Linked DNA regions of Arabidopsis thaliana. The protein of the gene in region 1 interacts with the protein of each later gene in a pairwise test. Each region holds a gene or a part of one and is shown in the gene's direction. Other genes may lie near its edges. The genes, in order: AT5G66720, AT1G80040, LSU1 and AT4G22250.

Evidence for each region.
Region 2: the proteins of AT5G66720 (region 1) and AT1G80040 interact in a two-hybrid assay, tested with the Arabidopsis thaliana proteins (one large-scale study listed by BioGRID).
Region 3: the proteins of AT5G66720 (region 1) and LSU1 interact in a two-hybrid assay, tested with the Arabidopsis thaliana proteins (one large-scale study listed by BioGRID).
Region 4: the proteins of AT5G66720 (region 1) and AT4G22250 interact in a two-hybrid assay, tested with the Arabidopsis thaliana proteins (one large-scale study listed by BioGRID).

The regions. Positions count from the first base shown.
Region 1 is NC_003076.8:26,636,727-26,645,092, reverse strand, and holds AT5G66720 (Protein phosphatase 2C family protein), read left to right. Parts: upstream 1-4,180; 5' UTR 4,181-4,412; intron 4,413-4,547; coding exon 4,548-5,044; intron 5,045-5,113; coding exon 5,114-5,423; intron 5,424-5,515; coding exon 5,516-5,665; intron 5,666-5,790; coding exon 5,791-6,078; 3' UTR 6,079-6,303; downstream 6,304-8,366. Other genes in the region: IDD1 (C2H2-like zinc finger protein), read left to right, coding at 1,210-1,333, 1,425-1,821, 1,906-2,180, 2,473-3,179; AT5G66710 (Protein kinase superfamily protein), read right to left, coding at 6,529-6,870, 6,940-7,095, 7,176-7,297, 7,370-7,565, 7,671-7,806, 8,219-8,366.
Region 2 is NC_003070.9:30,106,325-30,114,679, reverse strand, and holds AT1G80040 (ubiquitin system component Cue), read left to right. Parts: upstream 1-3,395; 5' UTR 3,396-3,628; coding exon 3,629-3,799; coding exon of another isoform or gene 3,800-3,803; exon of another isoform or gene 3,804-3,954; coding exon of another isoform or gene 3,955-3,983; intron 3,984-4,058; coding exon 4,059-4,373; intron 4,374-4,564; coding exon of another isoform or gene 4,565-4,621; exon of another isoform or gene 4,622-4,813; coding exon 4,814-4,987; intron 4,988-5,146; coding exon 5,147-5,233; 3' UTR 5,234-5,621; downstream 5,622-8,355. Other genes in the region: APT2 (adenine phosphoribosyl transferase 2), read left to right, coding at 1,419-1,509, 1,589-1,699, 2,203-2,295, 2,404-2,553, 2,700-2,758, 2,898-2,972; AT1G80030 (Molecular chaperone Hsp40/DnaJ family protein), read left to right, coding at 5,807-6,109, 6,471-6,539, 6,727-6,819, 7,013-7,134, 7,465-7,660, 7,935-8,110, 8,220-8,349.
Region 3 is NC_003074.8:18,372,420-18,379,039, reverse strand, and holds LSU1 (response to low sulfur 1), read left to right. Parts: upstream 1-3,099; 5' UTR 3,100-3,320; coding exon 3,321-3,605; 3' UTR 3,606-3,807; downstream 3,808-6,620. Other genes in the region: ATG13 (Autophagy-related protein 13), read right to left, coding at 1-1,148; LSU3 (response to low sulfur 3), read left to right, coding at 6,088-6,381.
Region 4 is NC_003075.7:11,765,314-11,772,527, reverse strand, and holds AT4G22250 (RING/U-box superfamily protein), read left to right. Parts: upstream 1-3,964; 5' UTR 3,965-4,198; coding exon 4,199-4,843; 3' UTR 4,844-5,073; downstream 5,074-7,214. Other genes in the region: IM (Alternative oxidase family protein), read left to right, coding at 178-326, 458-647, 781-874, 1,257-1,372, 1,460-1,568, 1,660-1,728, 1,896-1,967, 2,069-2,116 and 1 more; AT4G22240 (Plastid-lipid associated protein PAP / fibrillin family protein), read left to right, coding at 5,301-5,722, 5,843-6,038, 6,124-6,438.

The DNA.
Region 1 (8,366 bases):
TCAACAACAAAATTTGGTTAATTATTTTACGGTCCGACAACGCGACGGTAATACCCTCCTTTGTCCCCGTCTAAGGACAGTGACAGTAAAATAATTTTTTTGTTTATTGACATGTTCATAAGCTAAGAATTTAGATTAATATTGGAAATACTAAAACCCAATCTTAAACCAAACACGGATATATCTTTTGACAAAATAAGTCGTTTAGCTCAAAATCTATATAGTAAACAATGACATAAAATAAATTTATAATTTCTACGCCATCGACAATATTAATAAATTACTTGATCGTTTGATTACGTAACATGTAGAGATACAATAGAAAAATAATACAAACCTGATATTGCATTCATTGGGTACTGCATATATTCACATGCCATTTTCTAATTTTCATCTGTGTACATCGTCTATGATATAATCTTTTCCATAAAGGTGAAAAAATTATTACAATATCTATTTACTCGTTTTGTTTGGTGCTTTTAACCTTTCTACACCGTTTTCAATTTAAAATCTACAAAAAGATTATTCTATTTTAATTATTTGCATGGGAGTCCAAAATACAGATTTAGATACTTGGAACTTGAAAGTCGACACAATTATGTATAAAAAATGTTTGTTAACAAAAAAAAAAGGGTGAAAAGTTGAGAGAAAAAAATTAGTATAATTGTCTCCAGAGAGAGAAAAGAAGAAGAAGGCTCCTTTTTCTTGGACAAGCCAAAGAAAAAGAAAAAAAAGGTTGAAGCTTTCACACAAAGTCTCACACACAAGCCGCCTTATTTTTTTTTCCGGTGATTCTTCAGAGAGAAACAAGCCGGAAGTAGTAAGGATAACTCGTCTCCGGTGAAATCTCAGCCGTTGGATCAGATCGGTGGACGGTGGATAAAAGATGCGTGTGGAGAAGAGAGAGTCTGGGTTAAATGATTAAGAGATTTCTTGGGTAATGAAGTTTTGATTTTTTTTCTTTTTCTTTTGGGGGTTTTAAATCTTTTTGAAGAAGAGAGGTCAGAGAGTGAGTTATCAGAAAAGTTTGGTGGCGGAAAGGGGAAAAGGAGATTTTTACGAAAAGCAGATTGACTGGTAGCTGAAGAAGAGAGAGAGAAAGAGAGACTAAACAGAGTAGGAGGAGGATGATAAACCCTAGATTGAGCTGAGCTGAGATTTGCTTCTTCCTTTTTGTGTTCAAAGATTGGAATTTAGTATCTTTGAAACATGCCGGTTGATTTAGATAATTCCTCTACAGTTTCCGGCGATGCAAGCGTCTCATCGACCGGAAACCAAAATCTAACTCCTAAATCCGTCGGGAAGAAGAAACGGAATCTTCCTGGAATGCCTGGTACTTCTCAAAAATCCAAACTTTTTTTTTTCTGTTTTTTGAGTTTGAAATTTTCTGTTTTTAGTTGTTCTCACTGATTGTCTAAATTCAGATCCAGACGCTGAAGTGATAGCTTTGTCACCTAAAACACTTATGGCAACGAATCGATTCGTTTGCGAAATCTGTAACAAAGGTTTTCAACGTGACCAGAATCTTCAGCTTCATCGTCGTGGTCACAATCTTCCATGGAAACTTCGACAGAGATCGACTAAAGAAGTGAGGAAGAAGGTTTATGTTTGTCCTGTTTCTGGCTGTGTTCATCATGACCCTTCACGTGCTCTTGGAGATCTTACTGGAATCAAGAAACACTTTTGTCGGAAACACGGCGAGAAGAAATGGAAGTGTGAGAAATGTTCTAAGAAGTATGCTGTTCAATCAGATTGGAAAGCTCATTCGAAGATTTGTGGCACCAAGGAGTATAAATGCGATTGTGGAACTCTGTTTTCTAGGTGGCGACAAATTGTTATAAACATATTCAAAGGTTTGATCTTTCTTATGGATTTTACTAACTTGTGGATTGGGTTTTGTTGCAGGAGAGATAGCTTTATAACGCATAGAGCCTTTTGTGATGCCTTGGCTGAAGAGAGTGCGAAGAATCATACTCAAAGCAAGAAACTTTATCCAGAAACTGTCACTAGGAAGAATCCTGAAATTGAGCAAAAATCTCCAGCAGCTGTTGAGTCTTCTCCGTCATTACCGCCTTCTTCTCCGCCATCGGTTGCTATAGCTCCGGCACCGGCTATTTCGGTTGAGACTGAGTCTGTCAAAATCATATCTTCCTCTGTTTTGCCGATTCAGAATTCTCCAGGTACATAATACAAACTCTCTGTTTGATGGCAAAATGTGGCAAAATCGCTACATGTAACAATTTATCAATTCTCTAACCGAAACAAGAACTCTTTAAAATAATCCAACTGTAAACTGGTCGGTGAACTTGGAGTTTAGTTGGTTTTGTCTGTAGCGCCGTTATATTTCTGATGTCTGCTAAAAAACTGAATCGTGTTCGTCGTCTTCCATAGCTAAGCCTATAATGTATCCATTAATTATAATTAAAGCCTCAAAGTTTATGTCCATGACTCATCATCTCTTTTTGTTTGTAGAATCTCAAGAAAACAACAATCATCCTGAAGTCATTATTGAGGAAGCTTCAAGAACGATCGGGTTCAATGTTAGCTCATCGGATCTAAGCAATGATCACAGTAACAACAATGGTGGATACGCAGGTTTGTTTGTATCATCAACAGCTTCGCCTAGTTTATATGCTTCCTCAACCGCTTCTCCAAGTCTATTCGCACCATCGTCCTCCATGGAACCCATCTCTCTCTGTCTCTCGACGAACCCTTCTTTGTTCGGACCAACAATACGAGATCCGCCACATTTCCTAACTCCTCTCCCTCCTCAACCGGCAATGTCAGCTACTGCATTGCTCCAAAAAGCTGCACAAATGGGTTCCACGGGATCAGGAGGTTCGTTGCTTCGCGGGTTAGGCATAGTTTCAACTACTTCTTCATCTATGGAACTCAGCAATCATGATGCATTGTCATTAGCTCCTGGTCTTGGACTTGGACTACCTTGTAGCAGCGGTGGTAGCGGATCGGGTCTAAAAGAGCTCATGATGGGGAATTCATCGGTGTTTGGTCCGAAACAGACGACACTAGACTTTCTTGGATTAGGAAGAGCTGTTGGTAATGGTGGTAATACCGGAGGTGGATTGTCTGCTCTGTTAACTTCTATAGGTGGTGGAGGTGGAATCGATCTGTTTGGATCAGGGGAGTTTTCAGGCAAAGACATTGGAAGAAGTTCGTAAGAGAGACAAAAGGCATGAACGTAGTAGACCAGTGTAGTATATAGTTCATCAAGTTTGTTTCAGGTTTTAGATGTTTTGGTATCTTGTTTTAGTGAAAGCTTTAGTTTTATTCCCAAGTGGGTTTTCTCTCAAGTACATAAATCTCCTAGCAACAACAACAAAATATATTGTTTTTTTTTTGGTGTGTGGTTTATTATAACTCACATGTTGTACTTTGAGAGATAATTTGAACTCGGGTTGTGACATGACAGCTAAATTATTACAGATGGTTACAAATCTTGGTCTAGTTCTGATGGAAGTCTCTACCATGTGAAAACAATCAATGGGGTTTGAAGTTTCTATTATTGGGTGTTGCTTGCTGTCTTAAAACGCTGAATCGAATTTTTGCATTAATGGGAACAATTCGTAGATGAGATTGAATTGACTTCTCCCAAAAGTGATAAATTTTTTGGAAGGTGGTGATATTTGTCTAAAAACTTGCAGAACTAAAAATAGTCTCAATTTGGCCAGATAATTTGAGACTTGACCAGTGTGATTTGATTGGAGAATCGACCAAAGATTTTGGATTTTGATGTTTCAATCGCTACGTAGGTCCATTATAGTGATAGAATTATCATGACAATTCAACCCACAAAGGCACTATTTTGTATTTTATTTTGGAGAGCAAGATAATTTATTTACCCACATCATATTTACTGTATTACAAAATCGGAAGTTTAACAGAAATCAGTAACTATGATTAGTGTGACTTTATCATTTGATCAATATTGATATGCTTGGACTCGAGCAATGATCGTGTAGTTTTCAATATTAAGAAAATAAAATTGGTTGTGTACAGTAAGCAAGAAGAGAGAAGCCTATTGGGGTTGATTGTGAAATGTTTCTTTCTTAATAGGCCATTGATATTTTAAGCTCATTAGTCATTATGCTGAAGACTACTCAAGTCCACAAGCTTAATACTATTGGGCCTTAAATGTCAAGTCCAAGACCATTAAATTATTATCTCTTAGTATTTTTTAATTTCGCTGAGAAATTTCAGACATCGAAAACTGAACACGAAGAAACAAGTTAAGTTTCCGATTTTGCCCTCATCGGCTAATGAGTTTTACGGAGGAGCTCGCAGCTGCAGGTAGGTAGCGGAAACAAGAGATCTTTATATATTCCTTCCTCTCTTCTCTAACCTAATTCCGGCGAAGAAGAAGACGGAAAAAGCCCTGACTAGTGAAGAATCCGGTAATAGTTTATCTCTTATCTCAAGTATTTGAAGTGGGTAATGATTAAGGGCTCGTTTTATAGTCTGTTGATTTTGGTGTAGCTTTGTTCAGTTTTGGTAAAAATCTTTCCTTTTATTGATTATTATTGATTCAGATGTCAGCGACTGCTCTCTCGAGATTAAACCCAGTTTCTCAATTTGGGTTTCAAAGAATCGTTGCTGGGAAAAGTAAGAGCTTCTTCTCCAATTCGGGTCAAAGGAGATTGTTTTCTGATAGTTCTCGGTTTCGTCAAGCCATGGCTGCTTCTGGTTCTTTGCCAGTGTTTGGAGACGCTTGTTTGGATGATTTGGTTACTACTTGTTCAAATGGCTTAGACTTCACTAAGAAGCGTTCTAGTGGTGGTAGCTTCACTATTAATTGTCCTGTAGCTAGCATGAGACTTGGGAAGAGAGGGGGAATGATGAAGAACCGATTGGTTTGTCACTATTCTGTTGTTGATCCGCTAGAAAAGAGTCGTGCACTCTTTGGGACATTGTCTAAGAGTGTTCATACTTCTCCTATGGCTTGTTTCTCGGTTGGACCGGCTCATGAGCTGTCTTCTCTTAACGGTGGTTCTCAAGAGTCACCACCAACTACTACTACATCTCTTAAGTAAGTTCTTTTACACTTTCTTAATCTTTTTGTTACCAATTGGTTTCAATGTTTTGATATTTTGAGTAGGAGTCTTAGGCTAGTGTCGGGGTCATGTTATCTCCCGCATCCTGAAAAGGAAGCTACAGGTGGAGAAGACGCTCACTTTATCTGCGATGAAGAACAAGCTATTGGAGTTGCAGATGGAGTTGGCGGTTGGGCTGAGGTTGGTGTTAATGCGGGACTGTTTTCGCGTGAGCTTATGTCTTATTCAGTATCTGCAATTCAAGAACAGCATAAAGGTTCTTCTATCGACCCTTTAGTGGTGTTAGAGAAAGCACATTCTCAAACCAAAGCCAAAGGCTCCTCCACGGCTTGTATCATCGTTTTAAAAGATAAGGTTAGTTAGCTCACAGAGTTTTGTTTGTGAATGAACAACAACTGTATTTCTTAGAACCGTCTGTTGAAGAGTGTTTGTTCTCCTTGTGCAAGGGATTACACGCCATTAATCTCGGAGACAGTGGATTCACGGTGGTTAGAGAGGGAACCACGGTGTTTCAGTCTCCGGTTCAGCAGCATGGATTCAACTTCACTTATCAATTAGAGAGTGGGAACAGTGCCGACGTCCCTAGCTCCGGTCAGGTCAGTTTCAAAGGCGTATTCTTCCTATTATCAAAGCTTAATAAGACCATTTTGAATACACTTTTCAGTTGTGGTTCGGGTTATACGGATTGAATTGAACACGCTGGTGTGGTTATATGAATCAGGTATTCACAATTGATGTTCAGTCTGGAGATGTCATTGTCGCTGGAACAGATGGAGTGTATGATAATTTATACAATGAAGAGATCACAGGAGTGGTGGTTAGCTCGGTGAGGGCCGGTTTAGACCCGAAAGGCACAGCTCAGAAGATTGCAGAGTTGGCACGTCAAAGAGCAGTCGACAAAAAACGGCAGAGCCCTTTCGCAACTGCGGCTCAGGAGGCTGGCTACAGGTATTACGGAGGAAAGCTTGATGACATCACTGCCGTCGTTTCTTACGTCACCTCATCTTAAGAGACCAAATTGATGATCTTCTGTTTAAACGGTCCAATCCCGCCAAAATCTGACGATACCTTTTCTTTTATTTTTTGTTGTGTTTTTTTGAAAAACTTGTTACGGTATTAAAAGTCCTCAGGAGGTCATTAAATGTGTATTTTTCACGGAATCAAAATATAGTTTAGCTAAGTTATGAAACGTGAATCTAATTGTGTTTACTTAGGTGAAAAAACACGATAGAATAATCATGGTTCATAGAGTAAATTATATGATGATTCTATTATTTATACCACATATTCTTCGATTCCGTACACTAATTAGTTTGGCATACTATTTTTCAACATAAATTGTTGAAATACCAAACAAAAAAGAACAAAGCACAAAGCCTAACCATTTTTTCTTTCGTTTTACTCTGTCGAGTTCGTATTGCTATACCTTTTATCTTTTACCAGAGAGTTTCTACTTCCATCACTTGGACATACAACTTTTGAAGATCTTGAGAAAAGGGACGATCATATTCATCAGTTTATTCGTCTTCTTCTTCAGCTTCTTCGTCTTGCTCATCTTTAGTCCGGGACAATCACAGACAACACGTTCTTGAACCAGACTGCTTGTTGAATCCTCGGTAGCTATATTGGCTTTGCTATTGGATGAAGTAGCATCAGTGTCTGAGCTTAAGCTTCTGAGCAAGTTTGTTAGTGAATATGTAATTTCTTTAAACTCAGGACGAGCGTCAGGATTCTCTGCCCAGCATGATTGCAGGATAGAAACAACGCCTTCTGGAAGATTCTCCACACTTGGTCTCTGGTTCTGCAGATATTAAAGGACTTAATCAATTCATGTTCCTGTGATTTTGAGTTGAAATTGTGGCTTACTTACTTTGCTGGCAGCATAAGCTACAAAGATGTTGTTCTTTCCTTTGAATGGGGTTTTGTTGGTAAGTAACTCCCAGAAAACAATGGCGAAACTGTAAACGTCCACCTTATGATCGTAGTGTTTCTTTTCGCCAATTTCAAGCGTGTCATAGCTGAATAACTGAGAAACAAACAAACAAGTTAACAAACCAAGAAAAGATTTTAAACCTAATTAAGTAACAAGAAACTAGAAACACCCACCTCTGGAGCCATCCATCTGTATGTACCAGCCTCAAAGGTCATGAAACCTTTAGTCTCCTCTCTAGCAAGTCCAAAGTCAGCCAACTTTACATGTTTCTGATCACCTGTTAAGAGCATATTACCTGCACAAAAACCAATCTTCTTCAATTCACAAATCTTGATTCCTCTTTTCGTGATGTCTCAGTTTAACTTACTTGGTTTCAAATCTCGGTGAATAATGCCATTTGCATTCAAGAACTCCATTCCCCGAGCAATATCCAACGCAAAGCTAATGGAGAGCTTCAGATCAAGAGGCTTTGGACGAACACTCAACATAAACTTCTGAAGAGTATTGCCTTCCATGAGTTCAGTAATTATCATCAACTTTGGTTCTATGCACGCCCCAATGAACTGTCATCAAAAGGATCCCATTAGGGATATTATACCATCGACGACCAACGAGATAAGGCTGCTAACATATGAAAACAAACAAAACATCAAAGGCTCCAATATTACCCGCACAATGTTTTCATGTCTAAACTTGGAAAGCAGCAAAACCTCTCTCTGAAACTTCTTCCTCTGCTCAATGCTTAAAGCAGATGTTCTTTTAGGCTGGAATATCTTCACAGACACAGGGACAACTCTCCTGAACCTATAATCATGGATAAAGAAATGTTCTTTAACCCATATCCAAATTCCAAAAATCAGTAACAAGTATGCCACAATACAAAGATTACTCATTCAAACACCCACATCAGAATCTTCCTTCTTATTGTAATTCATGGTTTCTCTGTAACATTAATCCTTTTTTGAGGCATTGTGTAGGAAACACTAGAGCTGAGACTACATAAACCTAAGAGTGACAAAACCTAACACTAACCAGCATGAAAGATTCCAAATTTCAAGGTTAAACCCAAAATTAAATCACCAATATACCCTGAAACCTATACTCTTCGAATAAATACCGAAATCAAGAAAGGATAAACAGGAAAACAAAATCTGCAATTTTTGCACCAAACCCAGAAGCAATTTCGAAGTAGGAGATTGAGAAACGAGAAACCCACAATCCTCTGTAGACAGTAGATGATGAACCTTCGCCGATGAAGTCCCCTATAGATATGTCTTTGACATCGACAAGCAACTCTGTGTTGATAGTGAAAGCGAATTGATCGTTGGAGGAGTCGGAGTCGTCGTCTTCGTCGTCCGATTCAA
Region 2 (8,355 bases), on another chromosome or scaffold:
TCGGCCGCTTACGAATGTATTCGTTGTGTTCTTTTCTGTTTTGAAGTTGGATTTGAAAGACCACTACAATAATCGAGTTTGAGTGTTGTTGTCGTTTTATTGTGAAATATAAGGAGTGACGTGTCTAATGATCTAGAGTCATAGTGTGTATGTAGATGAAATCATGAAAAGCATAAGTTGGTTCAGATCCGACTAGTGGACAGAAAAGGATAATAGTCTCATCTGATTGATTTTGATTTTGCCTCTTCATCTGTTTTCAGCTATATATCTTTGAATCCAATTATAGGCTTCTTTTGTTTATAAGATTTATTTCTTGTATTTCTGTGATGCTTCAAAATGAAAGCTTTCTAATACGTCTCCACTTTGCTTTTCTTCTCTGTTTTACAACGTATAATGGAACTGGTGATGTAATCACTTATCTCAAATTATATGGTAAGAAGAAGTAGTACTAGTAGTAGTAGTAGTGCGGAGCTTAAAATGTTAAACCATATATCTAGACGAAATCTAAAGCCAACCAAATCTCTACTTGTGATTGAAAAAACGGCATACATAATAACATAGGTGGGGCACAAAATATAGTAAAGTAATGAAATGATTTGAAAATCAAACAAAAAGAAGAAGAAGAAGAGCAGGCGTGCGCTTCAACAGTCGAAATAGGCACTCGTACGTTTTTATTTTATCTATCTCCCTACTCTCACTCACATCTGGACCCTCCTTGCTCCTCTTTTACCTTCTTTACCGGTTTTACCATTGAATCAACGTTTTCTCCCCTTTTAACATTACAACTTTCTTTGGAAATTGATTTGTTTATGGAAAGACAGAGATAAATGGGTCATAACCACTATTACTATAAATGCTCGAGTTTACAATTTCATATCTTCCAGAAAGATTTGTTGATTTTCTGGTAAAGAAAGATTCGCTGTATATTTTTACAAGTATGCGTGCATGCTGTGCTGGCACAGAATATCGATTTCGTTAGATCAATACCACAACACATTTATGATTTTTGGTAAAAATCCATCACACAAAAGCCTTGATCTAGAAGACTAGAACCCACAAAATTAATCATATTAACATGAAATCTATATATAGTCAACCATTATTGGATAGAATCTAAGATATTTGAACTTTGGTTCTCAATTTACATAGTAAATCTATCCAACCACTATGAAGTGGTCGTTACAAGTGAGCTTTAATTTGATTATTCTTTATATATTTCAATTTTTAAAAGATATATTAAAAATAACAAATTCGGATGGAGACGTACGATGAGTGGGGTGAAGGAAATAAATGAGAGATAGAGATAGAAAGGAAGAATTATCAATATAAATGCTATCATAAATACAGCAAACCCCATTCTCTCTTCTTCTTCGACAAACACCAAGACAAACGTAAGCACAAGCACGAGTGAGTGAGAGATGTTTGCCGTGGAGAATGGGTTGCAGGGAGACCCGAGATTAAAGGCCATCTCCGACGCCATTCGTGTCATTCCTCACTTCCCCAAGACTGGTCCATTTTTCTCTTCTTTGCCTTTAGTTTTTCTTTTAGCTTACAAACTAACTAAGCTTAGAGTGTGTTTGTGTTGCAGGGATCATGTTTCAGGACATAACAACGTTGTTGCTGGATCCAGTTGCCTTTAAACATGTCGTCGACATCTTCGTTGATCGTTACAAGCACATGAACATCTCTCTCGTCGCCGGTTCCTTTCACTTTCCTTTCTTTAAACTTTCTCATGATTATTAGATGCCTTCTTTTATAGTTTAAGTCGCTATTTAATTAGTCTTTGCCAAATACGACACACACGAACAAAACCGGCTAATTATTGATTTAGCTTGAAAGGCAACACATTTCTTTATTTATTCTTGATTAATTTACGATATCCTTAAGAGAAGCATTCAGCTTGGAAGGCAACGCACATATAGATTATTAAATTTATAATATACGACATATAGAATCCGAAGCGTAATTATATCAGCCAATATGAAAAGATTGAATAAACAAATAGACAACTTTTATGGATTAATGATTTTACACTCACATACTAGTTTGTCTAGTGTGGTTGGTGACTAGTTACTTATCCCTTTACTCTTTATTATTGTCGTTAGTCTGTCTCTTGTTTTTTCTTTTGTCTTTTAGTGAACCTTTTTGGAACATAATTAGAAATGTCTAAGAAATACTAAAAACATAGATTGATGTATGCAGGAGTAGAGGCGAGAGGATTCATATTTGGACCTCCCATCGCGTTAGCCATAGGTGCCAAGTTCGTTCCACTACGCAAACCGGGAAAACTACCCGGTACGATTAGTAATATACATACATATCACTTCTCAGACAAAAACGTACATTTTGATGGAATAGAAAAAGTGTTATTGAAGGATACTATTGATTGTGATGTTAAAAAAGGGAGAGTGATAAGCGAAGAGTACGAACTTGAGTATGGAAGAGATTGTCTAGAGATGAGTGTAGAAGCCGTCAAATCGGAGGAACGAGCTCTCATCATCGACGATTTAGTTGCCACTGGTGGGACACTCTCTGCTTCCATTAACCTCTTGGGTAAATAATATCTTTCTACTTTCATTAGCTAGAAAATGAATGCTACATGCTAAACAAGATGATTTATATATTTACGCTTAAGAAGTTGTATATTATATCTGAGTATAATTATTGAACTAAAAGTGAGTCTCTTCTATGCACTTTAGAGCGTGCCGGGGCCGAAGTTGTAGAGTGTGCATGCGTTGTTGGTTTGCCTAAGTTTAAGGTACTATATGACCTACTTTGTTCGTTTGCATAAGTTGAAGGTCTTTTAAATTCGCGTCAATAATATTTTGGGCTTTAATGGGCGCTATAGGCCCATACATTTGAAGATAATAAAATAACTCATTGTCTACGATATGTAGGGGCAGTGTAAGCTGAAGGGAAAGCCTTTGTACGTTCTGGTGGAACCAAACCAGTTTGATGAATTAACCTTATAAAAGCCTTTTCTATTCAACGATTATGACAAATAATGTAATCGGTTTAATCGATTTTGTAACTAAGGATTTGTTTGTTTTCTATTGGCTCCATGTGGAATGATTCATGCTAGTTACTATGAAATTCGGAATACGAAGGTATGCAGTATTATGCACCACTGTTCTTCAGATGAATGAATTCAAGTCGATTTTCTAGTGATTTACATGGCAGAATTTATAAATAATATACATCATATTGTTTGTTAGATAACTTTACTAAGGGGGCAAAAAAGGAATTATCAGATAAACAAAATATTTGAAAAAAGAAAAAAACGTTGGCAGGGAGTTTCACGCGCAACGCAACGCGCCCATGTGATTAACAAAAGTACGAGAAAGCCCCTGCCGCTTAAAGATCTGTATATAAAAAGGGTAAAATAAGGTCTCCTGGCCTGGCCTTTAAGATAAAGAAAAGGAAACCCAATCGAAAACCTAAAACCCGATTAGATTTTCTTAGATACGAAACCTCTCTTACGACGCTCCTTCCTCAATCTCTCTCGATCGTCGGAGATTCTTTCTTCAAGAGTCATCTTCTTCTTCTTCTCCTTCTCCCTAAACCCTAATTTATCGCGTTTGGATCGAATCAGCTGTCAATTCTTGTTTTGGTTTTCACGGCCAGGGCCATGTCTGCCGTATATTGCGGAACCAAGAGATCTTACTTCGACGATAATTCTTCTCCGCCCTCTTCTAAGAGGTTCCGATGTTTTTCGCCTTCCAATTCTCCAATCTGGTCCTCTCCTCCTTCCTCATCGCTCGATCAGCTTCACTCTGCGTTTCCTCATATTGAACTCACGGTAGGTCTTCCTTCTATTCAATCCACACAGATCTAGCTTTACCTTGTTCGCATCTTGTACTAGAAATCTCACTGACTAGGCATTTGTTGACCTCAAATTACGCATCTGTCTCCGATATCTCTCTTCTTCTTCTTCTTCACCGCCTGTAAATTGAGCATCGAAAATTCACGTCTCGGTTGCACAGGTTCTTTATGCGATTGGTTGTAAGTAAATTTTGTACAGTATCTAGGGTTTAACTAGATTTGCAAGTCTTTCTCAGGTTCTCGTCAAGGCACTAGAAGATAATGGAAGTGATTTTAATGCTGCTATGAAGAGCTTATACTCTTTCGCATCTTCTGAGGAGAAGAAAGCTGAAGAATTGGCCGCAGGAGGTGCTGCTACTCAGGAAACTGATGCCGTTTGTGGTGGAAACCCCCCGACCAGTGGTGATGACTGGGTTGAATTGTTAGTCAGGGAAGTGTTACAATCGTCTGGTACAGATGATGCAAAAGTACGTGCAGCAAGAGTCCTTGAGGCCTTAGAGAAGATGTTAAGTGCACGTGCTCGTGAAGAAGCTGGAAACAAATTCCAAGAGGTAAATAAAGCATTGCATCTTTCTTAATGTGTTTCTTTCAAAATATACCCTTACATATGCACCTTGTGCATACATACTGGCTATCAGACCATGAATAGTGATAATCATATTTGTTCTTTGAGCTCTGGGCATGGAAGACAGTTTCAGTTGCTGTAGGACATAGGTTGAACCATTAGTTACTTCTTATGTAGGTGCATACGCTCGTCACTGATTACAAGTTTGTTGGATCTAAACACAATTATGTATAATGGCAATGAGGAATCAACTGTGAAAGGACAATCATCGTCCATTTGTTCTGCATTAACTATGATATCTGAAGAGGGTTTGTTTTTCAATGGGGGAAATAAAGTTATCATAGTAATTTTGTTCTTAGTAACAATCTCTTCTTAGTATTTTTGGCATATCTTGTCTCAAAATAACAATCTCATATGATTTTACAGGAGAAAGTGGCAGTGCAGCAACAGGTGGAGACCTTGGTGAAGGACAACACAGTCCTCAAACGTGCTGTTGCTATCCAGCATGAGCGGCAGAAGGCATTGGAGGATGCGAACCATCAGCTAGGACTTTTGAAGCAACTGGTTCCTCAGTATCAGGAAAAGCTTAGAAATCTGGAGGTAAGCCTTAGGCGATAGAGAGCTTCTGCATATCCCTTGCTATTGCTTTGAATGGTCTGGTGTTGGTTGTTTTAAAATTGAACCAAAAACAGATGTTGTTAGAATTTGATGATGCCTCATAAAAGAAAGAGTGAATGACAAAAGGTAGAAAAAATGCAGGTGAACAATTACGCGTTGAGAATGCAGCTGCAGCAAGTGGAACATGGCAACTCAATGCCAGCAAGATTCAATCCGGACGTCTTCTAAAGCTCTCCAAGAAGACAAGGACACTTGCAGAGGAGGAGAAGGCAATAAACGAAAGTAGAGGGAGAGAGAGAGAGAGAGCGATATCAAACTACAAAACAAAAGTGCTTTTGCATTGTAATACTGTGTAGTCAGGACAAACAAACATTCTGTTTCCTTTCCTTTTTTTTTTATATATTTCTTTGGTTTGCTGCTGTTTGTCTCAGGCGCATTTATTTTGGAAATCAAGGATGTGTTTTGGTACATAGGGCTGTATAATTTGACATTGTTCTGAAAATTCGAATCGGATCAACCATTAGTAGTATATGATATGAATGAATGATTTTACCTGTAAGAAATAAGCAAACGAGACTTTTGGGTTACGGCAAAAGAAGTGATGGAAGAGAAAAATAAAAAGGAAAGAAAGGAAGAAAATCCACGTGAGCGAGGTTCGCACCACAAAATCCCGAATTTCACTCTCTTTAGCCTAAAACGCTTTTGGAATCATCGTCATCATCTCTCAACAATGCCCGTTGCCAAGCTTCTCCGCGTCCTCTTGGTAGCTTGAGAAGCTCGTTTGATTCCATTTTGTCTCTAATGGCTGCCCTCGCTTCTCCCTCCCTCATCCCCTCTTCTCTCTGCTTCGCTGCCGCCGCCGATGGTCCCCGTTCCCTCTCTTCTAATTTCTCTGCCTTTTCCGACGGCGGTTCCAATTTCAGGTATCACAAGAGCTTCTTGTCGCTTTCATCTTCGTCTTCTTCGTCTACGCCTTATCGAAATCGACGGGGCCGTTCCCTCGTCGTATTTGCTACTTCCGGAGACTACTACGCCACTCTCGGTGTCTCTAAATCTGCCAATAACAAGGAGATTAAAGCTGCTTATCGACGGCTCGCTCGTCAGGTTTACCACCTCCTCCTCATCCTTTCTATTTCTTTGTAATTCGTTTTTCTGCTTTGTGAATTTCTCCCGCTTATGACATTACTTACGGCCGCCGAAATTGCCAATGTGAAAACCTGATCATCCAAGTAATTATGCATCCGGAGATTATGTTAGCATTTTCTCTAATTCTGGGTCTGTAAACGGTTGTGTTGTGCAAACTAGGACGAGTCAACGAATCAATTGTTTGTTTCCACATGAACATGATATTATTTGAATTTTTATTACTTTAATCTACTCAACATCAAGCTCTGCTTTAGTTTTCTACTTTATTTCAAGCTTATTGAGCTATGATCTCAGCTGATTATCAACTTTTTATATCTAGTATCATCCCGATGTGAACAAGGAACCCGGAGCAACTGAAAAATTCAAGGAAATCAGTGCTGCCTATGAGGTATGCACCAAAAGCTAAGGTCCCCCCAGTTCGATTCTCTTCATGTCATCTTTTCCTGTCCTATCACCACTTTTTTTGGGTTTTCTTTTCTTGTTACTTGTTAGCTTGCATGATTACAAGGCTTTGCTTTTATAACATGAGTTGTCAGCTATTTTGCCTTATGGTTACTGAACTACAACATTGTCAGGTGCTATCAGACGAGCAAAAGAGAGCATTATATGATCAATATGGTGAAGCCGGTGTCAAGAGTACAGTAGGAGGAGCTTCTGGTCCTTACACGGTAACACTTCATCTTTTTCTGGCTATGCTTAATCATACCCATGACTGGCTAGCTTAGGGCACTATTTGTGCGTTTCTTCTCTTGCTGATGCATTAGATGTTGAAACCTGATTTGATGTGTGCATTGGCCATTAGCTACTGTGCTTGTCCGATAGTTGTCCTTGACATTTACTTCCTCTTACATTTCCAACCAGTCAAATCCCTTTGACCTTTTCGAGACATTCTTTGGTGCAAGTATGGGTGGATTTCCCGGGATGGACCAAGCTGATTTTGGGAGAACCCGCCGCAGTAGGGTTACCAAAGGTGAAGATTTACGGTGAGTTTCTATTAGGAAACAAAGCATTTATTGACTTACCGCCAAAGGATTTCCTCTCTATTCTCTGGTAGCATAACAACATTCACTGTTTGCTGATAAGATACCATTCAATCATTACCTTAAAAATATTGTTAGTGTCTCCTAACTTACCATGTGTCCTGAAATTTTCTACTACCATGGGCTTGAATCAGCAAGCAGAGGAGGTTTGTGTCTGTATGTCCACTCGCTTGCTTTTTCTTTTGGAGTTTTTCCTTGCTCTTCATGTTCTGCATAAGCTTTGAGAAAAACCAAAAGTGATTAATTTGCATTTTTGTTTCTATTGCGTTTTAGGTATGACATCACCTTAGAACTTTCGGAGGCTATTTTTGGATCTGAGAAAGAATTTGATCTTACGCATCTGGAGACATGTGAAGCTTGTGCTGGCACCGGGGCAAAAGCAGGATCCAAGATGAGAATATGCTCCACTTGTGGTGGGCGGGGTCAAGTTATGAGAACTGAGCAAACACCATTTGGCATGTTTTCACAGGTCCGTGCAGTTGATTTCTTTCCGTTCTGTCTGCTTTATCTCTGTTGCAGTTAATTCGAGTCGATGTCAGAAATGGCATCTGATTGGAGCATCAGAGTTGATGTCAATGTGTAGTTTACTCAAACTAATCTGTTTGTGGTTAGTAGTAAGTGCATAAGTGAGAATTCGCTCGGAATTTGGTTGAATCCAGTTTGTGGTTTTATTGTTTGTGAAAGTTTGTTTTTGCTGGTAACACTACCTCCTTATAAATTTCCTATGTGTGTGGTCTCGTTAGGTTTCTATATGTCCAAACTGTGGTGGAGATGGTGAGGTGATTTCTGAAAATTGCCGGAAATGTTCTGGAGAAGGGCGTGTGCGTATAAAAAAAAGCATCAAAGTCAAAATTCCCCCGGGAGTTAGTGCAGGTAGCATCCTTAGAGTCGCCGGAGAAGGTGATTCTGGTCCCAGAGGGTATGTTGAGAAAATTACCGATTGATAAATTACCAGTAGAAAACCATTCCTTCTGTTATATGATCTTAATGGTTCTGATTTTTGGTAATCGACTTTCTGCTTCCACTAGTGGCCCTCCAGGAGATTTGTATGTATATCTTGATGTTGAAGATGTCCGGGGAATTGAAAGAGATGGCATAAACCTATTATCTACCCTTTCGATCAGTTACCTTGATGCTATACTGGGTGCTGTTGTTAAGGTGATT
Region 3 (6,620 bases), on another chromosome or scaffold:
GATGAAACGTATCTATTTAACGTGGCTGAAGAAGGAATGGTCACTGGAGCAGTCCCTGGTCTCACATTAATGCGCGGACTGTTACCCCCAGATATGTATCTTGGAGTAGATGGAGAACCCGATGGTGAAAAGGGAGGTGAAAGCTGGTGATTGTCACCAAAAGCATCTGTACGTGACCAGTGGAAATCGTGTAACCCAGGTGACAACTGATGAGACTGAGCTGGCGAAAAAGATTGGTTCGGTGTTGCGAATTGAGCTGGAGGTCTGTGAAAGCCGCTAGTCCAGCTATGCGGACGTTCTGCAGATGAACCAGTCAATGGAGGCCGACCAGCTCTACCAGTAAAGGAATGGCCTTCAACACTTCTCCCTGGAGAAGGGAAAAACCTCATAGGATCTGTTGCAGGACTTCCCACATAATCAGTTATAATCCTCGGAGGCAATGTGATATGAGCACCGAGATTAAAATCAGATAAGTCAGAACGGTAAGTAACCGATGCACAAAGACGACCAGGAGGCACTTCAACAGGAGCAAAACGAAACTCTTTCATTGTTTCCGTCACAGGACCAGAGAATATGTCACTGAAAGATGAAACCTTGTAAATCAAATCATAACCAGAAGAAGCAAGAGAAGAACTCAGCTGCCTAGAGACACGATAAGCAGGAAGAAGCCGAGTCTGTGCATAAAGAGACCGCAACAGAATGATAGATTTCTTGTAAACCTTCTGGTAACGCGTTGCAGAGTCAGAACTCTGAGGAGACATAATCAAAGGATTCTCATATTGAACAACCCAACGCTCAATCACAGTCTCAGCTGATCTAACAACAGAATCACTATGATCATCATCATCATCCAAATTATCGTTTGAAATCGGATGGACAAGAATGATATCAATAATCATAGAATCCAGAATATTCCTATGCCAAGAATGCAATTTCTCCAACGCAGCAGGACGATCTCCCATCACAAGATTAAACCATTTGTCACTTTTTCTAACGTTAAGACCTGATAAACGCTCACGAGTACGACCACGAGATTGCAACGAAGGGATTCTGGAATTAAGAACTATGTGTAATGCTTTTGGGAAGAAATGAGAAACAATCTGCTCTAATCTTCCTATATCTGAAGGCAAATTCTCTGGAAAATCCATCTTCTTCACACAAATCCCTAAATCGAAACAATTCTAAAAATATCTCACACAAATCCCTAAGAAATATCCAAATCCGAAACTGATCTATGAGAACGGAGATCACGAATCGTTGTTTTGGGAGAAGGATCTAGAAATACAAAGCTTAAGATGATTAAGGTGATTAAGAGATGAAGAAAGTGTAGAGAGATAAATTACAGATAGTTAGGGTTACCGTGAGGAAGAGAGTTTGATAATAGAAGCTTTTATGTGAAGATCTGAGACGTCAACGATGGCGTGAGTGTGTTTTACACGCAGATGACGATGATGATGATCAACATAAACAAAAAGAGTTTCAGAGGTAGAAGAAACACACACGATCACGATTTGAGAACACTGTGAAATTACTAATTAAATTAATATTGAATTCAACCAATGATAAATAGCCACGTCTTTGTTCTCTTTTGTTTTTCTCGTTTTACCCTTATCTTGTTGCCTCAATTACAGGAGACAATAGGTCTCGTTAATCTTAATGTACTATACTGTGAAATTACTAATTAATATTCGACTCTTGTGAATGCAGCCAATGAAGAATAGCCACGTCCTTGTTATCCTTTGTTGAATTTTTGTTTTCTTCTGGTTTTACAGGAGACAAGACAATAGGCTCTTAATGTATACAGTGAACCTGAATCTCACGCGCTTTTTTGGTAGAGAAGGTGAAGCAAATGCGCCAAGTCGGATGTTTAAGTATATGGGCTTACTGTTTAAGCATTAGGCCCAACATTTCTAGATAATTGGAACACTTTTTTTTTTTTTTTGTAAACCAGATAATATGTATTTGCAATCATCACTATGGAATGAGTTCAAAACCATTGGTTTTTTGAAGTTATGGACTACGTAGCTAACATTTTAAAACCTACAGATTTTTATTTTATTTTAAATGTTATATGTTATATTGTATCATTACAAGAGAAAGCGATTCTTACAATGTAGTTTAGTCTTCTAACAACTGTTATTATTACTGTTGTGAAAAATATGTATTCAAACTAACATACTGCATGTTATCAACAAATGTATAAGTTGTAAATGTCTATTATATATTCTCTATGTTCCTAAAAGAATGATGTTTTGGGTTTTTCACCCAAATTAAGAAAATTAACTTTTATGTTATTTATATTATTTTTTTGTTAATTTAATAATATAATTTCTACTTCTTTCCTCTCTCTATTAGTCATTAATAAAAATAATAATAATATTAACCTAAGAAATCAATTTTTATGGAACAAAAAAAAATCTAAAACATCAAATTTCATGGAACAGGAGAAATATATTTTTGGTGATAGTACACTAATTTTCTATTTTATAGTGGTTGTAGATGTATGATGTCGTGAAATATCCCATAATAGTTCTTCAATCATAATATAAGTAACGCAATATTAAGCGGCAGCGTTTTCCCAAATTATTAACTTGTTAGTTAATAATCTAAAGAATAAATCCTTGTCACAAACTCACAATATCACAAGAAAGTGAGAAACACTATAGTGATTGGCTTCAGACGTCACCTATTTCAAGCCCTACTAACTCAATAATGTAATCAATATATACCACATACATACATCAGAGATCAGACCAACACATTTTTATTACAAATTTGACGGACCAGAGATTTATAAATAATTAAATTGAATTTGTGTAAACCACGGCATTAGAATTATTAATTACTATTCTATTTACACGTTAACATATATTTATCCATTTATCAATTTATAGTTGTATAGACGGCAATTTGTTTATTAATTTTAAAGTTAAAACTAGTTAATAACATGGATAAACCGGAAATTTCGAAATTAATTTGGTTTAAGTTTCATATAAAAAATATTTAAATCGAACCTAGCGAAACTGTGATAAAAAAACGAAAAAAAAAAATTGAACATTCGAAAAAAATAGTAAATTTTCTCTTTTGGGGTGGTCTATGCATACATAAGCCATGAGTATGTTTAAGTTTCAAGTAAGGAGAAAATATTGACCGAAATCAAAAGTGAGGAGAAATAAAAATCAAGAAGCAGATACATTGAACCTGGACATGCAAAAGCTACACAAAGCGCCTATTAAAGAAACATAATCAAACCCTAACACTCAACAAATCAAGAAACAAAGTTAGAACCACAATCAAATCCTTTTACACAAAGAATCTTAATGGCGAACCGAGGAGGATGCGTGACGGTGGCGGCGGAAGAGATGGATGAGCTAAGGAGGAGGAACATAGAGCTCTCGAGAGAAGTGGCGGAGATGAAGACAGAAATGATTAAGTTGTGGCAGCGAACGGTTGTGGCGGAGGAGGCGGAAGAGCAACTCTGCTCGCAGCTGGCGGAGCTGGAGGTCGAGTCTTTAGAACAGGCACGTGACTATCACGATCGCATGCTCTTCCTCATGGATCAAATCTCTCGTCTCTCTTCTTCTTCTGTCGTCTCTTCCTCGTAGAATAAGATATTTCTCATAAGTTATGTATAGTTGTGTATGTGACAATCACTATACATGTATATAGATCGATGGTAATATGTTATGTTTTCAACATAAATTAAATGTTTGAATCCATTTCTAGTGAATAAATTAGAATTTCTGATAATCATACAAATTGTTGAACTCCATTTCTAATGAATTAGTATTTCTGGTACTAGTTGCATATTTTGTCTTGACTTTTAATTACAAAAGTTCTTATGGAAGCAAATAATATTTTGGAATGATACCATGTTTAAGTAATGAAGTAATAATATATGAGTGAGATCTAATGTCAATCTTAACTATCAAAATAATTTTATGGAACTAGTAGGTATTGGAGACTCGAAGGGGATCGAAGAACTTTGAAGTTTAAATTCCATGAAATCCTACATTACCATAATTTTCAAAGGAATCGTAGAAGAGTTAATTGAAACTTGAGTGTAGAAAAAAATAAAGGGTTTTTGGGTACATGAGTTTCATGGAAATTTTCCACAACTTCAGGATTTTTTTTTTGTGGTCAATGGAAACCGTAGGAGAGAATGGTTCAATGATTTTTCTATGGAACCATAACAATAGTCTTTAGGGGACGTGAAACATGAAATTGTGTAAGTTTTCCATTGGTTCAAGGGTCATTTTCTGTTTCTATTTCATTTAATTATATATTTATTTTGTTAATATAAAAAAAAATCATTTAAAATAGTATGAAGATATGTGGTGCTGGCAAATTAAGAGGAATATTGACATTCGATTTTGACGTGATTTTGTTTGTTTTGCTGTTAATTAACTGTTTTGATCATAATAAATTTGAGATAGTATCCGTTGACGATGAGAATATGCCATGCGTAGATTTAAAATTATTACCATTTCTTATTTAATCAACAACGGTACCGGAGTAAACCATGCCTGCCAAAAATGAATTGAAACTTCAATTGTTTCAAGAAAGATGTGTGTGTGTGTGTTTTTTTCATTCTAAACAAAGTTGAACCAAATTAGAATAAATTAAACCGAAGTGAGCCAGTATGTAATTTTGGAAGACTAAACCGGACAAGAAAGCAGATACATTGAACCTGGACAGTATAGGAACTCAATCAAATTGTATGGTCTAAAATGTGATCATCCCACGCTCCGAATTTGTTCATGTCGCAGCTTTTTTTGGCATTTTGTAATAATTGGGCAAACGATTATTCATGATTTTTTTTTCTTCTTTGGCTTTTTTCTTATGCTACTTTATCCCTGATTTTGATATCTCTTGAAAAGAAGGATCTACCATTATTGGAATCATTTGTCTACGATATCGACTATCGAATTTGACTGTTTACAAAGCTATAATTCTTTTGATATCGGGTGACCAAACTGTAATTAATTAACTATAGTTCCATGAACAATTTAGGAAATAGAGATAGCTTAGACTTTGGCCTAGATTAATGGGTTTAATGACTAATATTGGTGGATTCAAGAATAATGAATTAGTAGGAATAATCGTTACGTGTTTCATTGGTGCGACGGCCATTGACTTGGGATAAGTAGAAGTGGTCCACTGGAGGCACGAAGAAATGGGATATGACAATTACATCGACGTGATTGGTGACGTCACCCATATGTATCTCCACGACGTTCACCGATTCCTAATATTCAACTAATTCGCATAATACTAATTAACGTCTTAATATGATTTTCTAATTTTTTGTGTATCTAATAATTATGGTGATGATGATAAAAGAAATTTGACATCTTAATAAGCTATTAAGGAATATAACTATAAGATTTTTGCCTAATCACTATGAGCAAATTATATGAAAATTTTGATAGAATATGAGATTTTCTCTTAAATGTGTCAAATTTGGGATATAGGATACATATCTACAATAGGCCAGATATACTTATACTATCATGCATGGATATGTATGTACTGATGTTGCATTTTCTAGATTAATGTAATAAAACAGCCCCCAAAAAACATTTTAAACCTATTAGGTTACTAGTATATATATCTAATTAATATTCGTCATCATTAGTGTGGTATATCTTTGTGTATTTGATTTTGTATAAATAATTATCTACTTTTGTGTGTTTACATATTAGTATAATACTAGTTCATATCTAAATTATATATTTTCTGATAACGATACCTAATTTATATTTTAATCTAAATGTTTTTTTTTTTAATGTTAAATATTGCTTGAAGATAATTCTAGATGCAGATATTCAAAAGGAATAAATTATTGTGATAGTCTTGCATGATATGTACCACGTGCAGTAGACAGACAATGATGTCGACAAAAAAAAAAAGAAGAGAACACGAGATACATTGAACCTAGACACTTTGCAATCCCAAATACCAAAACTCAAAATATGCCTATTAAAAGGACCATCAACACATAGAAGAGAATTTAACAGTTTAACACAAGAAGCAGCAAAACCACCTAACTCAAATTGTTGTCTATATACAAGAAACATAATCATAATGGGAAAAGGAGGAGGTTATGTGACGGTGGCGGCGGAAGAAGTGGAGGAGTTACGGAGGAGGAACGGAGAGTTGGAGAGAGAAATGGAGGAGATGAAGAAAGAGATGGTTCAGCTGTGGCGGCGTACGGTGGTGGCGGAGGAGGCCGAGGAGAGACTCTGCTCGCAACTGGCGGAGCTAGAGGTCGAGTCTTTAGATCAGGCGCGTGACTATCACTCTCGTATAGTCTTTCTCATGGACCAAATCTCTCGTCTCTCTTCTTCCTCTCTTGAAGTCGTTGTTACGAATTCGTAGATAGATTAATTATTATTTTGTCTTTAGCTTTTTTTTTTTTTTTAATTGTGGGATCCAAGTAGTTTAATGTGTTAAAAAGATATGTAAAGAAATTTTGCATAAGTATTACAAATTTTCATTTTCTTCATAATCCTTTAAAATTATGTCCAGAAAAAAGTGTTTAACCATGTTGACAAAAATTTGTTTTAGGGGAATTTGAAGTTATATTTCCTCGAATTCATGCAACATTTGTGATTGCA
Region 4 (7,214 bases), on another chromosome or scaffold:
ATTTGTTGGACGCGTCGACGTCGATGGGGATGAGAAGTAGTGGAGAATCCGCTCACATTGGGATTCGTCATTCTTCTTCTAAAACCCGCAAAATTTCTCCATTTCTACCAAAAATATCCAACTTTTACTTTTCTTTCCTGTGAAATTATCTGCTCAAATCTTTGGTTCCTGACGGAGATGGCGGCGATTTCAGGCATCTCCTCTGGTACGTTGACGATTTCACGGCCTTTGGTTACTCTTCGACGCTCTAGAGCCGCCGTTTCGTACAGCTCCTCTCACCGATTGCTTCATCATCTTCCTCTCTCTTCTCGTCGTCTGCTATTAAGGTGTGCCTAGCTACAGCTAATATTTAATTGATTTGTTCACACGTGATTATGAAAAGGATTTGAATTTTGCTGTACTTTTGTTTCGTCCATTTCTAGTTTGCTGAAAATTGGAACTTTTTTGAAAACTTCAGGAACAATCATCGAGTCCAAGCAACGATTTTGCAAGACGATGAAGAGAAAGTGGTGGTGGAGGAATCGTTTAAAGCCGAGACTTCTACTGGTACAGAACCACTTGAGGAGCCAAATATGAGTTCTTCTTCAACTAGTGCTTTTGAGACATGGATCATCAAGCTTGAGCAAGGAGTGAATGTTTTCCTTACAGTAAGGTTTTATAACTCTTTTATTTACCTGAAACGTTATGTCTTACTAGAAATATAGATTTTTTGGTTGTGTTATTTTACCGGAAGTTATTTCATGTCTTCTGATTGTTGTCTTGTTTTCGTTTTCTCCGCAGGACTCGGTTATTAAGATACTTGACACTTTGTATCGTGACCGAACATATGCAAGGTTCTTTGTTCTTGAGACAATTGCTAGAGTGCCTTATTTTGGTAAGTGCATCTATTTGTAATTGTAGTTTCAGTTCGTTATAATATTTGCAAGAAACATTGAGCAGAGCATTAAGAGCTAGTCATTAGGTTTTGTATTCTTCAGAAGACAGTAAGATTGTGAACATCACTTGAGATGTGTGCAGAAGAAGAACAATGACGAAATAGTTGTGTTTGAGGAATATGTACTCTTTCTTATCTCATTAGAAGCATAGTTCAACTCTTAACAACAAAAGGCGATTCAGTCATCGAGATATTGGATTTGTTGAGAATCGAATCTTGTTTTTTTTAGTGTGTTTATCACTAATTATGGATCTGGATACCAAATGAAAAGTTGTTCCGAGGCTAGAACATAATGTTTGTTTCTTCTATATGCTCCTTGCAGCGTTTATGTCTGTGCTACATATGTATGAGACCTTTGGTTGGTGGAGGAGAGCAGATTATTTGAAAGTACACTTTGCTGAGAGCTGGAATGAAATGCATCACTTGCTCATAATGGAAGTAAGAACCAAAATGTTACTTCTCTACAAGTTTCATACTCTTTACTCACATAGTTAGTAATAGTAAAACAAATGTTTCTAATCACAGGAATTGGGTGGAAATTCTTGGTGGTTTGATCGTTTTCTGGCTCAGCACATAGCAACCTTCTACTACTTCATGACAGTGTTCTTGTATATCTTAAGCCCTAGAATGGCATGTAAGTTTCCTTTCCGCGTAACTTCTAGAAAGTAGCTGAATAAATTGCTTCTGGTCTACATGACTTCGTTAACCTTGTGTCACCTATGCAGATCACTTTTCGGAATGTGTGGAGAGTCATGCATATGAGACTTATGATAAATTTCTCAAGGCCAGTGGAGGTTGGTTACCAATGGTTTTTTCTTCTTTCTCCACCATTCTGTGTACCATTTACATTAGAACTAAAGTTGTTAATGGAGTTATTGCTTTGAAATATTACACAAAATTCTTCAACGATCTTTACATTCTGAATTGTTGTGCTTCATTTTTTTTTGGTTTCCCTAAACAGAGGAGTTGAAGAATATGCCTGCACCGGATATCGCAGTAAAATACTATACGGGAGGTGACTTGTACTTATTTGGTGAGTTTGTCTTTCCAGGAATTATCAATATCCTCCAGAGTTGTAGAGATGTTTTTACCTATGATTAGTAGTCTTTTAAACTGGCCCTGTATTGTCTGCAGATGAGTTCCAAACATCAAGAACTCCCAATACTCGAAGACCAGTAATAGGTAGCAAATCTATTTCATATCCGTTTAGTTCTTTCCATCTCTGATTCCGTCGAACCACAAAATGCTAAAAAAAAGTTTATGATTTATCCATGGTTATGATTCTGCGCTCTATAAATGACTGAGATTCTGTCTTATGTTTGTATGGAGGAAGCATTATTCACAGTTTGTGACTTACTTTGATGTTAAAATAAGAATCTATATAACGTTTTTGTTGTTTTGTGATTACGGTTGGGCAGAAAATCTATACGATGTGTTTGTGAACATAAGAGATGATGAAGCAGAACACTGCAAGACAATGAGAGCTTGTCAGACTCTAGGCAGTCTGCGTTCTCCACACTCCATTTTAGAAGATGATGATACTGAAGAAGAATCAGGGTGTGTTGTTCCTGAGGAGGCTCATTGCGAAGGTATTGTAGACTGCCTCAAGAAATCCATTACAAGTTAATAAATTAGAAAGTAAACTAAAAAAGATTATTTGTATCAGCTCATGAACAATAGATATAATCCCATATACTTGGGAATAAAGGAATAATGTGAAATTCCCATCGTTGTGCTAGTGTGTGAGAGAATCAAATACCCTAATGATGTAAATGTACTTTGATGAGCTTAAGTCGTTGTAGACCATTTTATCCATACTACTAGCCTTTGTGGTTGCATTGTCGGTTTCTTCAATTCTTATTTCACAGGAGTAAAAAAAATGTTTAAAAGTACAAAATCATTGAATGTATCATTCTCTCAAAAAGCATATTGGTATTAGCGTTTAGAATCTCTATATCCCACACTTTTATTTTTATTGGTTTTGTTGGGGAGAGTGTGGCGCAAAGACGACGTCGTCTATGCGAACATTTCACGTGGGAAAAGCCTTGATTCATGCGCCTTCTTTAATTTTTCTTCTTTTTTTTTTTTTTTTTTTGTCTCTTCTTTGCCTTTCACTTTTTAAAATGATTTTCCGCGGGTTTAATAACAAAAATGTTTTCCCGCCAGAAAGGTTTTACCAAAAAACCATGTTCCGGTTATAGCACAGGTAAGAGAATTCATCAGTCTAGTATAATTAGCAGTAATCAAATTCGAATACTTTGATCGTCGCTTTTATTTCAGAGTTAGCGTTACATTAATAGTACCTTTATTCGATTGATGATTTGTTTAATCTTTAATAGGGTTTGAACTCCGATGGAGGACCTTTTTTGTTGGTAATATTCCCTTCGTTTCACAATATAAGTTGTTTTAACTAAAAATACGTATATTAAGAATATTTATTTTTAAAATGTTCAACCAATTATAAAAAAAACTGTAGAATATAAATAATCATAAAGTATTAAAATAATATATAATTTGCATAGAAACTTGAAAACAACTTATATTATAAAACAAAAAATTTGGTATAAAACAACTTATATTATGAAACGGAGGGAGTATAAACTTAAGTACTAATTCGATTTTGTTTCTATTCGAGACCTTGAAGACTTTTTTATTTAATTTTAAAACTAAGTCGTACAGTTACAGAAACAGCATTAAATTTTTCCTCTTAAGTAAATTTATTTTTTCTCTTTCTATCAGAAATTCAGAAGAACTAACATTATAGTTGCCCCCATTGCGTACACTGTACATCATTTCTCGGTAAATTACACATAATTATAAGTTGATTAACCTTTTAAGTTTTAAACAATGATGTAAGTAACTTATTAAAAATTGGTTTTTAAAAATTGAAAGTTATATACTCAAGTTGGAAAAATATTTTACAAATATACTCGATTCCACTACTACTGTAATTTTGTGTGGAATACCAGTCAAACAGAATCGTTATAACTGTTAAAAATTAGTAAAACTGTATAAAGTAATTTTAATTCGCGGGAAATCAATATTCGGAAGCAACTTTAACAAAAAAAATAAAGAAATGTGAAGAGAAAAAAAAAACTCTGAAAACTTCCTTTATAATGTCATCATCACTGCGAGACCCAAAGATCTAAACAGTTTCTCTCTCTCCCTCACAGGGCTCTCTCATGGCGGAGCTAATCTGTCTATTTCACTGGTGATTCTGTTTCACTATCTGAGAATTTGTTTAGAGTTTCCGTTACCGAGTCGATGATGAGTGAACTCGATCTCGGAACGAGTCAGAGGATGACGGAAACACACCGCACGACGACGACGTTTCTTGATTTGCTCCGACGACAGATGAGCGGTCACGATCTCACCAGAAGGAAACGGACGTTAAAAGAACGGTTGAGATTCAAATGCATCGGATGCTGTGGTCCAACCTGGAATCTCCGTCTAACTAACAACACCACTCTTCACAGTCCAACCTCAAGAGACGACGAAATCGAAGAGTTACAAATTGAAACCGGACTCGTTCTCGAATCGGATCATGGATCGGGTACGGGTATGAATCTCGCGACAGCGTTAGAAGCGGAGAGGTATAACCGTGGAGAATCGACGGAGGCGGAGGCAGATATGACGCCGAGGAGAGTTTCGTTGATGAGATTGTTGGAAGAGACGGCGGAGAAAATCGTTGATGACGACGGGAAAGAAACGGAGATATTAACGGCGTCTATTGGGACGTTAACGGGTAATGATTCGGTGTGTTGCGTGTGTATGGGAAGAAAGAAAGGCGCTGCGTTTATTCCATGTGGTCATACTTTTTGCAGAGTGTGCTCTAGAGAATTGTGGCTGAACCGTGGATCGTGTCCTCTTTGTAACCGTCCGATCATTGAGATACTCGATATTTTCTGAAAACGATCGGACGGCTAAAAGTTCTCGATCCACGTGAGTAAGTGAGGTGATCCCTAGATACGTTTCCAAAGTTTTAACTACGGTTTGTGTACTTTGTACGTTTCTTTTGGTTATTGAAGAAGATGATGTAAATGCAAAAAAGAATACAAGAGGTTTTTTGTTCACGAGGCCCATTTAGTCTATTCAAGCCCAGTAAACCGTTATTTTGGATTTTATCTAGCCTAAACAATGCTCGCCTCACACCGTCGAGTGGATTCTTGGCCGTTGATCTTGTCTCTCACGTGGCAGTATCGTAGTCGAATGTACATGATCTATGTGGAATAGTCGATATTATCCCTCTTGGTGTGAGTTTGGTAGTTGATGAAAGCAAAACATTTACGTAACAATGTCTATAAAATCAGTACAGGTCTATTCTTGTTCACTAGCTTCGAAATTTTAGTCGAAGAAACAAAAAAAAATGGCGACGGTACAATTGTCCACCCAATTTAGCTGCCAAACCAGAGTTTCAATCTCACCGAACTCTAAATCTATCTCCAAGCCTCCGTTTCTGGTACCGGTGACCTCAATTATTCACCGCCCGATGATCTCCACCGGAGGAATCGCTGTTTCCCCCCGTAGAGTTTTCAAAGTCCGAGCCACAGATACGGGAGAGATAGGATCAGCTCTATTGGCGGCGGAGGAAGCAATTGAAGACGTGGAAGAGACGGAGCGGCTAAAGAGATCGCTCGTGGATTCGTTGTACGGAACAGATCGAGGTTTAAGCGCATCGAGCGAAACCAGAGCTGAAATCGGAGATCTAATCACACAGCTCGAGTCTAAGAACCCTACTCCAGCTCCGACGGAAGCTCTTTTCCTTCTCAACGGCAAATGGATCCTCGCGTAAGTTTTTTTCCGGTGAAAACTTTCTCTTGTAGTCCTGTAGATAGCATCATTCGTAGGATTCTGGATTCAAATGGTAGATCTCGTGCTGCTTTTGATTTGGTTAAACCTCTTTTGCAGCTACACATCGTTCGTGAATTTGTTCCCGTTGCTATCACGAGGAATCGTACCGTTAATAAAAGTCGATGAGATCTCTCAAACCATTGATTCAGATAACTTCACCGTCCAGAACTCTGTTCGTTTCGCTGGTCCTTTAGGTACAAACTCGATTAGCACCAACGCTAAATTCGAAATCCGAAGCCCTAAACGCGTCCAGGTAAATTGACCATTCATCGACCATGATCTGATATCAACATCTTGAAACGTTTTCAGTAATGTTTTGGATTTCATTTTTCTTGCAGATTAAGTTTGAGCAAGGCGTAATTGGGACGCCTCAGCTAACGGATTCTATTGAGATACCGGAATATGTAGAGGTTCTTGGTCAAAAGATTGATCTTAACCCGATCAGAGGGTTACTTACCTCGGTGCAAGACACAGCCTCGTCTGTGGCTAGAACCATATCAAGCCAACCACCGTTGAAATTCTCTTTGCCGGCGGACAATGCGCAGTCTTGGCTACTCACGACTTATCTAGACAAAGACATTCGGATCTCTAGAGGAGACGGTGGAAGTGTCTTTGTGCTTATCAAAGAAGGAAGCCCTCTCTTGAATCCTTGAACTTGGTCAAAATATATGTCTCTCTCTTGTCGTTGTGTTAAGTGAGACAAATATATAGTGTGGTTGTAGGTTTACTTCTTAATCGTTGTTATTAACTCGATGATAAGGAATATAATGTTTTTAACTACTACAGAACATCTCGTCTATGGCCTATGAAATGTGTCTCAGATTTTCACAAAATTCAAGTGTTTTAGAATTTCATTCTCTTCTGTTTGATTTAGAAAGTAAACTATGTACCGATGCAAGAGTTACATGAGAATTATCCCGGCAACGTCGGGTCTTTCGATAAGAATCGAGATGATGACTGTCATTTTGTTGTCTAATTGGTTCACTCTGTGCTTGATGCCTATCATTTTTTTTTTGAGGGACTCAGTCACTGGAAATGGTTCTATTAGTATGGTATGGGATACTTGTTAGTATAGTACTCGAGGTTTCTAGCATATGCCATAGAGTTTCTCAATATCTGAAGCCCTATTTTGAATGTGTTTGTTCTTTCTGTAATTTATTTAGAGACCATCAGGTAAAGGAAAAACTCAATTCAGACAAGAACATAAGAAACCTAAATTGACCAAATTTCTCATATAACTGAAAGTTTGAAACTGTGTTTTGTTATGTACAGTTTGGTGGAGGGTTTGATGCGGAGAGCATGAATCAGAGCCAAAACTGAAAGTGGAGGAGACAATAATAATGATAACAATGAAGAATAATCTGTAAACTGAGTTTTATTACTTTCTTTTTCTTCTATGTCTCTCTTTATCATTGTAGCACATATTTGC